2 linked regions of the Xenopus tropicalis genome follow. The protein of the gene in region 1 binds, or shares a complex with, the protein of each later gene. Links are inferred from orthologs where the notes say so. Each region holds a gene or a part of one and is shown on either strand. Other genes may lie near its edges.

The links.
Region 2: ercc2 (region 1) and polr2g share a complex: the UniProt entries of both Homo sapiens proteins name them as parts of the TBP-based Pol II pre-initiation complex. The link is inferred for Xenopus tropicalis from reciprocal best matches to the Homo sapiens genes ERCC2 and POLR2G.

What each region holds. Positions count from the first base shown.
Region 1 is NC_030684.2:70,786,139-70,790,293, forward strand, and holds the end of ercc2 (TFIIH basal transcription factor complex helicase XPD subunit), read left to right. Parts: intron 1-232; coding exon 233-376; intron 377-2,974; coding exon 2,975-3,067; 3' UTR 3,068-3,488; downstream 3,489-4,155. UniProt on the Homo sapiens protein: ATP-dependent 5'-3' DNA helicase. Component of the general transcription and DNA repair factor IIH (TFIIH) core complex, not absolutely essential for minimal transcription in vitro.
Region 2 is NC_030680.2:34,586,331-34,590,784, reverse strand, and holds the start of polr2g (DNA-directed RNA polymerase II subunit RPB7), read left to right. Parts: upstream 1-1,342; 5' UTR 1,343-1,610; coding exon 1,611-1,622; intron 1,623-2,806; coding exon 2,807-2,916; intron 2,917-3,394; coding exon 3,395-3,554; intron 3,555-4,300; coding exon 4,301-4,351; intron 4,352-4,454. Other genes in the region: zbtb3 (zinc finger and BTB domain-containing protein 3), read right to left, coding at 1-814. UniProt on the Homo sapiens protein: Core component of RNA polymerase II (Pol II), a DNA-dependent RNA polymerase which synthesizes mRNA precursors and many functional non-coding RNAs using the four ribonucleoside triphosphates as substrates.

The sequences.
Region 1 (4,155 bases):
AAGGGGTTGTTCACCTTTAATATCCAAATAATTTTAAACCACCAACAATGCTCTCGGCGTGTTAGAACATACATCCACTCTAACATACACTGCTTAATATATCTTCCACACCACACATATACACATACCTCACTCTCTCCCAGCTTTTAGTAGCTGCTGTTTCTTATTGTCCTTATTTTACTAATGCTGATTCTCTTTGACTCTTGCTCCCATACCTGCTTTACTGTTACAGCGGTATGCACGTTCTGATAAGAGAGGAAAGCTGCCACTCTGGATTCAAGAACACCTTACAGATGCAAACTTAAATCTTACACTGGATGAAAGTGTACATCTAGCCCGACACTTCCTAAGACAAATGGCTCAACCATTCCGCAGGGTAAGACTGTTCCTCTGACCAACTTAAGATTTAATTCTTTCTTTTGCAGTGTTATGTGTATTTGTCCATACCCAGCATAAAAAAATGCTTTGGCTGTATGATCTGCATCATGTAATTTGCCCTATTTTGCACAGTATTCATTTATCATTAGATAGGTTGCAGAGTGCTGAGGTAATATAAGCATGTATATATGAATGACTTTATTTATAAAGCGCTACTAGTATATTTTTACAGTATAGAAAAGTACACACTCGGAAGACAATGTTACAATGAATAAACATAAGTGGAAAGTAATTAAGTGCCATGTGATAGGAGTGGGTGGGTAACTTACAGGCATAAAATAGGAGGGCAAAGTGCACAAAGATTTGGGCACAGATCTTTAAGTTCCAAGACTTAGCTGGTAATGTTCTAGTGCTCCAAAAGATAGGATTTGAGTTTCTTTCTTTTTGAAGGGGTTGAGTGAGAATTCCCTACAGAGGAATTCAGGGATAGAATTCCAGAGGTAAGGAGCAGCAAAATAGTAAGATTTATAATGAAAGATGGCAGTGGGTGTGGATTATGTGAAAGGACAGTGACTCTAAGAGAAAAAGGAGGAGGCAGCCAAAGATGAACAGGCAGACAAGTAAGGGATTTGTAGTGAGGAGCAGAGGACTGAAGGATTCTGAATGTTAGTAAAATTAATTTGTATGGTATTCTTTGATTAACAGGCAGCCATGATAGATATTTTACTAGGGGGTGAACATGTTGCCTCTTAGGAGATGACAAGAGGATTCTAGCTGCAGGGGTGAGAGGTGGGTAGTAGGAGGTTGCAGTAGTCTAAAGGTGGATATACACTGTAATATCCACCTGATATGCCCACCTATGGGCTAACGTGCTGATGCGGTCCCCAATCTGATGGAAAAATCAAATCTGCGTGATCTGTATCTGTCCAGTTTCAGTCCAGACATTGGTCAGGAAGGCCCGTCGGTGGTGCCCATACACAGACAGATAAGCTGCTGAGTTGATCTGAAGGACCGACATCGACAGCTGAAATCAGCCTGTGTATGGCCACCTTAAGTGTGATGGGATAAAGGCATAGATTAGTGTTTGAGCTGTTACTTGTGAAAGAAATGGGTGTAGCTTTTCAATACTTTGGTTGAAATCTTCGTTTTTTGCATTGGCATAAATATGTTAAGAAGGAGAGGGGCTGGTCAAAGATAATCCCCAGGAAGCATGCCAAATCAACAGGGTCAATGGTCATGCCATCGGTAGTAATGGTAAAAGAAGAAAAGCCAGGTTTGGGTAAAAAGATCATGAACTCTGTTTTAGCTAGGTTCAGTTTGCATGGTATTGGTTTATCAAGAAAGAAATTGCTAGTAGGCAGTTAGAGATCTGGGTCTGAATGTCAGTGAATAGTGAGGGGGTGTCTATGTATATTTGGATGATATTTGCATATAAGCAATATAAAAGGCCAAAGAGATAAGGTTTTCTAAAAAATGTACAAGGAGAGCAACAGAGGGTTGAGTATGGAGCAATAGGGCACCCCACACTAAGCTGAAACCATCTCAGTGGCGTGTGCAGGTTGAACACCAGGCTGCATAGGGTCAAGCAGATTATAAGTGCAGAGAAAGTTAGTAATTTGAGAAAGAGCTTAGAGGCTTGCAGTAAGAGAGAGGCAGGGAGCTAAATATGGGAAAACAATCATTGTGAATTTGATTTATTATTTATGAGTGTACTATGGAATCTTGCTTGGCCTTGGAGAGGGCAGAGTTGGGACATTTATAATGGAGGAAGTCCACTTGCGGGAATCATGTCTGCGGATTTAGCCAGGGCTGGTGGTTCTGGGCACATTTGTGGAGTGGTTGCAGCAGGGCTGCATGAAATAGATTTATGTTAATTGCCAATTGCTTCTGTTTCAGAGTAAGCATTGAAGGCGGTAAGGCAGAGCATAAAAAAGCAGTTATGTCAACAATACGAGTTACGGATCAGAATTTTTTGGCTGAGGGGGAGTGTGCAAGCTAAAGAGATAATTATCTGAAAAAGGAAATTGATCATTGTTAAATGTGGAAAATTGATAGGTTTTTGGTACTGACTAGATCAACCATGGGAGTAAAGGTCCCCATACACCATCCAAGGGACCGATATCGGCAGCTACTATCGGCCCGTGTATGGGGACCTTAAGAGATGAAAGTGATCATTAGTAAAACAGAAAGATTGCTCTCTGTAGAGCCATAAATCTGGAAATGTGTGTAATCTATTATTTCTTACTGAATATAAACACAATTTTTGGTTATTTAATTGAGACGTTCCATGACTAATTAAAAGCACAAGTGTTTCATACAGGTTATGGAACTCCAAAGTGCTTTCTGATATTCTCATATTTTAGAATAGGGAGTACATTATTAGTTTTAATATAAAAGTTTCAGTGAGTCATGTGACACAAATGACATCACTAAACACCATATAAGGTTATAGCTCACAGGATATTTGTGGTATAAATTTAAAACACTGATTGCTTTTTCACTTCAAGGAGTAACTGGATTAGCATCCTCTGCCATATCATTGACCACTGTATTTCATCTTGCAAAAAACTTACCATTTTATGCTTTTCTTTTTTAGGAGGACCAGCTGGGACTGTCACTTCTTACACTTGAGCAATTGCAGTCTGAAGAGATGCTACAGAAGATACAAGAGATTGCTCATCAGGTGTGAGAGGCACAGAAAGAGTGCTTCCAACCTTCACAGACTGCTAAATCTGTACCACTTAGCAAGTGATCTGATGACAGCCAGACAGTGACATGTGAGTGTTCAGAACAGGCATTTTTGTGTTACTCTCAGAGAGGCTGTCTGAGGATGCTGAGAATGTTCACCAGCCAAACTGATTTTCACCTATTACAGGTTTGCAAATAAGTGACCATGTAAAACATATAACAGTTGTAATATAATACAGATTGAAGACATTCACACTTTAGATATATAACAGCTTGTGCTGCTTTGTGTTTGTCCTGAATTTTCTATTTTTATGTATGCCCAGAATATATAAAAAATGTGCAAAGTCAGAATGACATCATTAAACAGTGTGTGTTTTAACATACTCCAATAAAGGCTCTGTACATTACAGAAATGCTGAAAATCCCCTCTTTTTTTCTTTTTTTTAAGGTTCCTTGGAAATTTTAACTATTTTTTCCTCTTTCAGCACTATTATGGAAACTGTTTGCCCAATTCAGCTTTTTCCTACTTATAGTTTTTGTCATTACTGTTATGATTCTTCAGGCTACTGCTTTTCTTAGTAACACATGGCAGGTGTCCTAACTAATTATGACTTTGCTACTGTTTTCAGTTCCAGTAGTCCCTGTAATGTCAGACTTGAGCAAAGTCCTGTTCTTCCAGCCATTAGTGTTTTAAGCAATTGCAGCTCAGTCCATGAAGATCTGCAGCTCCTCAGGTGGCAGATTTGGTTACAGGAATAGGGACAGTAGTGATTAGATTTTGCACTAACTGGACCTTTGTGAATTTTAGATAAGCTAAAAATACAATTCTCTTTTCTGAAATATTCTGGGTTTAAGTAGAAAGATTGGCAAAGTTTGCCTCATTCCAGTATCCACAAATCTTGTGTTAGAAATCATTATTACAGTTTCTCTGGACAATGGCAAGACTTGCTGATACTTGCTTACTGTTGGTAGAGGCTATGACGCCAGGGTGCTTAACTTACTAGTAGCAAATCTCCTCTCCCATCTCGGCCCAATAATACCGGCCCCTGTTCATTAGATGTAAATGATGCATATAAAGCAGCCAGACCA
Region 2 (4,454 bases), on another chromosome or scaffold:
CTGTTAATTGCTGCCCATGGCCTCTTGCACTACCTACAACTGAATGTCCACTGCCTGTTCCCTCCTGTATATCAAACCCAGAACTTCCTGCCACTTCTTGTCCACCTTCTACCATTGTAAATGACTCCGTCCTGGAACTCACTGCTATTCTCTGCCCATTTCCTGACAGCTCTTGGGCCTGATAACTTAAACTCCCTGCCACTCTCTGTCCTGTCCCTACAGCCTCTTGTCTGTGGAACCTAGAACTCCCTGCTCCTTCCTGCATCTGGAACACTACATTTCCTGGTACTTTCTGCTCACTTCCTTCTGCTTCTTCACCTTGGCATCTCAGATTCCTTGTTCCACTCTGCCCACACTCCATACCGTGTTGTCCCATCTTTACATCTTCACTTTCTGCTAAATGGTAGGCCGTGGAACTCTCCTCTTCTCGTCGTGTGCTGTCTGCTTCTGCTGGTGCTCGGCCCTGCAACCTCTTTTTGCAGACCCTAACAACCTCATCCATGTGAAGGTAGCTGGCGGCTGCCAGAACATCCTCAGCTGGTGCCTCCTGGAAGCTGAGTCGGCCACAGTACATAAAATTAAGAAGCAGAGAAAATGCTGGTGCTGTAACAATCTGGCTATTTAGGGTGAGGTCCCGTGTATCTGGATGCTCCCTGCATGACATGTGAAAAAAGGGGCTGCAAGAGGCCAGGACAGAGCGGTGAGCCAGAAAGTGGGCAGTACCAACTATCACTTGGCAATCGCACAGAAAACCTTGCAACTGCTGGTCACGTAAACTGTGCAGGATACGGCGACTGTGATCTGGAAACTCCATGACTGAAACAGTAAAGAGAGAAAAACAGCATTACATTTACAGAGCAAGCAGTCAAACACTCTAGTCTTTCAAATTATGCAAGTCATATCTGTAATATTTGCAATAATGGAGTATTGTAGATGATGACAAATGATATTAAATTTATCTGTCCACTTAATAAATAGAAGTTAAAAATACAATAGTTGTTCCCACCTCTGTTTCAGATACAGGCAAACTACTTCACCTCCAGCCTCAGTCCTCTCTTGGTTAATTAAAAGAAATGTCAATAGCAATAGGGTATATTATATACACACTGCGACATCAGCTTCACAATGTCAACATTTCAACTAAAATACAGCATTTCATTTTCGGTCACGTGATCCAGACATCCTCTTTACCTGCACAAAGCAAATCACGAAAACCACGCCCTTGCCGCCAGCCTATTGGTCACTTTCTCTCCGGCCCGTCCCCAATGCTCTGGTTGGCCTGTAGAGTTGGTTGTGGACAGTGGTTGTAGCCAATGCGCAACGTACTAGACAGCGGGATCCCCGGTAGCCTCTAGGTGGGTGTTCAGTTCCGCAGCTCGGTTCCTCTCGATTCTCTACATTACAGTACACTACATTACACACCGAATCCTCGGATTACCCGGAGCCGAGCCGGTTCTGCCACACATCGCTGCCTCACGTCATTTCCTGTTGTGTGACGCCAACAAGCGGGGACATACAATCGCGCCGCCTTTTAAACGAGCTTTATTGTTCCCGGAATAGAGCATATTGGGTACATCGTGCAGCAAAGAAAGTGACTGCGGGGCCACGGAATGTTCTACCATGTAAGTCCAGTGTCTGTTTTATTGCTTTGGGCATGAATTATCACAGGCGGTAAGTGTTTATGTAAGTGTACAGAATCCTATGTGACTTATTGCATCATTTTGTAAGTGTTGCTTGTTTTCTGTGAAGCCCTTTACCTGCGGGTTACTAGGTCGGGTACAGCTGTTGTATGTTCCTGAGGCACTGGCCTGGCCTCCTGGATCCTCCTTATATGCCTTTTTGGACCATAGAGCAAACTGTTTTATGTGCTTGGCCAGTTCACTATAGTACATTCTCGAAGGCCAGACTATAATGTAGTGACTAAAGTACCCCCTGTTGTAAAATATAAGGCTATTATAAGTCACCTAGGACTTCCTTGACCATATTAAAGCAAGAGGCCAAAGGCAGAGTGATGGAACTCCTGGGTGACTTCTAATATCCTTCTATTTATTATAATACACGTGTGAGTCGTGTGACGGAAATAACATCACTAAGCACCAGTTATAAGGATATAACTTACAGGATATTCATGGCTTTTGTGTATTATATAGTGAATTAAGTACCAGGGCTGTGAAATCGGAGTCGAGGAGTCGGAGGCAATTTTGGGTACCTGGAGTCGGAGTCGGCAAGAAATGAACCGACTCCTACTAAATTTAAATGGGAATAAAAAAAATTAAAATAAAGCAAGTTTAAATGTCCCAATTCACAAACAGTCATAATTAATTACTTCTCTGCTATAAGAATAAAGCCCAATGCAGAGCCAGTAGTTCTGTAGTTAAATGACATGTATGTCTCCTTCCTTTCCTTCAATGAATGTATAAAATACATTAGCATATTAAAAACAGAGGAGTCGGAGTCGGAAGTATCAGAAACTGAGGAGTCGGAGTCGGAGAATTTATCTACCAACTCCACAGCCCTTTTAAGTACCCCCTATTCTAAAATATAGGGATATTATAAGTCAAACTGTTTTCCTGTAGTTGGCCAGTTCACTATAGTACATGCTCGAGGGCCAGACTATAATATAGTCACTAAAGTACTAAAGTTTTGGTGTAGCTAGTGGATTATTAGTAATAGCTATTGGTAATTAGCTAATAGCAATTGATATCGAAGAGGACAACATTGGAATGGTCCGATCAGTGTCTATATCAGCCAGTTAGGCCACAGTCATGTGATGCCATTTTCTTCTTGTTTTTTTTTTAATCCTCAGATCTCATTGGAACATGAAATTCTTCTGCACCCTAGATATTTTGGCCCTAACCTTCTCAACACTGTCAAACAGAAACTCTTCACTGAGGTAGAGGGAACATGTACTGGCAAGTAAGTACATATGTATGTAAGTAGTTTTGCATGTATACACTGTATTTATATGCACTAGAACAGTTGTATGTTTTCTCCTGCACATTAGTGCCATTGTACTGCTGAGTGGCGCTATTAGCCCCATAAATTATCTGTTGTCTCCCTGCAAACTTGTTTTCGCCTGCCACCATGCAGAACCCCTTTATGGGCCTGTGTTGTTCTCTAACACAGCTTTTTCCACAATGTCTCAGTAGTTGATGTTGCACTTAAAGGGTGGGCCAGACTCTGACAGTTCGGGGGCATTATTACATTTATCCTACACCTATCAGGACTTTGGTCTGACATCCAAGCCTGATGCCAATGACTGAGCCATTTGGGAAAGGAGCTGTAGCACTGGTCTGCAATGAGGGGCTGTGGGAAGGCAGGGGGGCCACAGTGATAGTGAAACTCTGCGTGTTTCATAAATGCATTTTTAATGTTCCTTTTCGTCTCTTCACAGGTATGGTTTTGTGATTGCAGTGACCACAATCGATAACATTGGTGCTGGGGTGATTCAGCCAGGGAGAGGGTTTGTGCTTTATCCCGTCAAGTACAAGGCCATTGTCTTCCGTCCTTTCAAGGGTGAGGTGGTAGATGCCGTGGTGACCCAGGTTAATAAGGTGAGAGCAGCACAAAGCAGTCATACAGTCTATTAATTTAAATTAGGAGAGCGTCCTCCTGCTGCTGTAAACTAAAATCGCATCATGCCGAGGGGAAACTAGAAGTTGGTAATGTAGACTGGAATTTTACACAACTTTTCTGTCCCAGTAGCATTTGTTGAAACATTAAAGGAAGAGTAACACTAAATTAAAGTACTTAAAATATAATGTGCTGTTGTCCTGCACTGGTAAGTCTGGTGTGTTTGCTTCAGGAAAGCTACTATAGTTATATTAATATATAAATAAGCTGCTGTGTAGCCATGGGGCAGCCATTCAAAGGAGAAAAGGCTTAGCTTACATAGCAGATAGCATATAAGCTCTCTAGCATATAAAGGTGTTCTACATTGCCTAACTGTTACCCCATGCCATTTATCCCTATTTCAATTGCCTCCATTGATACACAGCAACTTGTCTATATAAACTAGAGCAGTCTTTCTGAAGAAAACAGATTAGTGATACTAGTGCAGGGAAACAGTACATTATATTTTAATTACTTTAAAACACATTCATTTTTTTGGTGTTACTGTTCCTTGAACAGCAAATAGCAGTACCATGTCGCCATTCGCTTTTGCTTTGCCTGCAGATTTCATGAATTAGGATGCTAATATTTGTGGTGGATCAGCAGCAGGGATGTAGGTTGGCCTGAATGAATGAATGATTCAGGGATACTCAATGCACTTAACCTCTTATTTGCTTGGTCCCTGCAGGTTGGATTATTCACTGAAATTGGTCCAATGTCCTGCTTCATATCAAGACATGTGAGTTATTTTTACTTGGTTATATTGTCTACTATTGTGACCGCAAGCGTGATTCAGGGTGCTTTGTTACTCTGTTGCAGTGGACATGGGTCATGCTATTGTC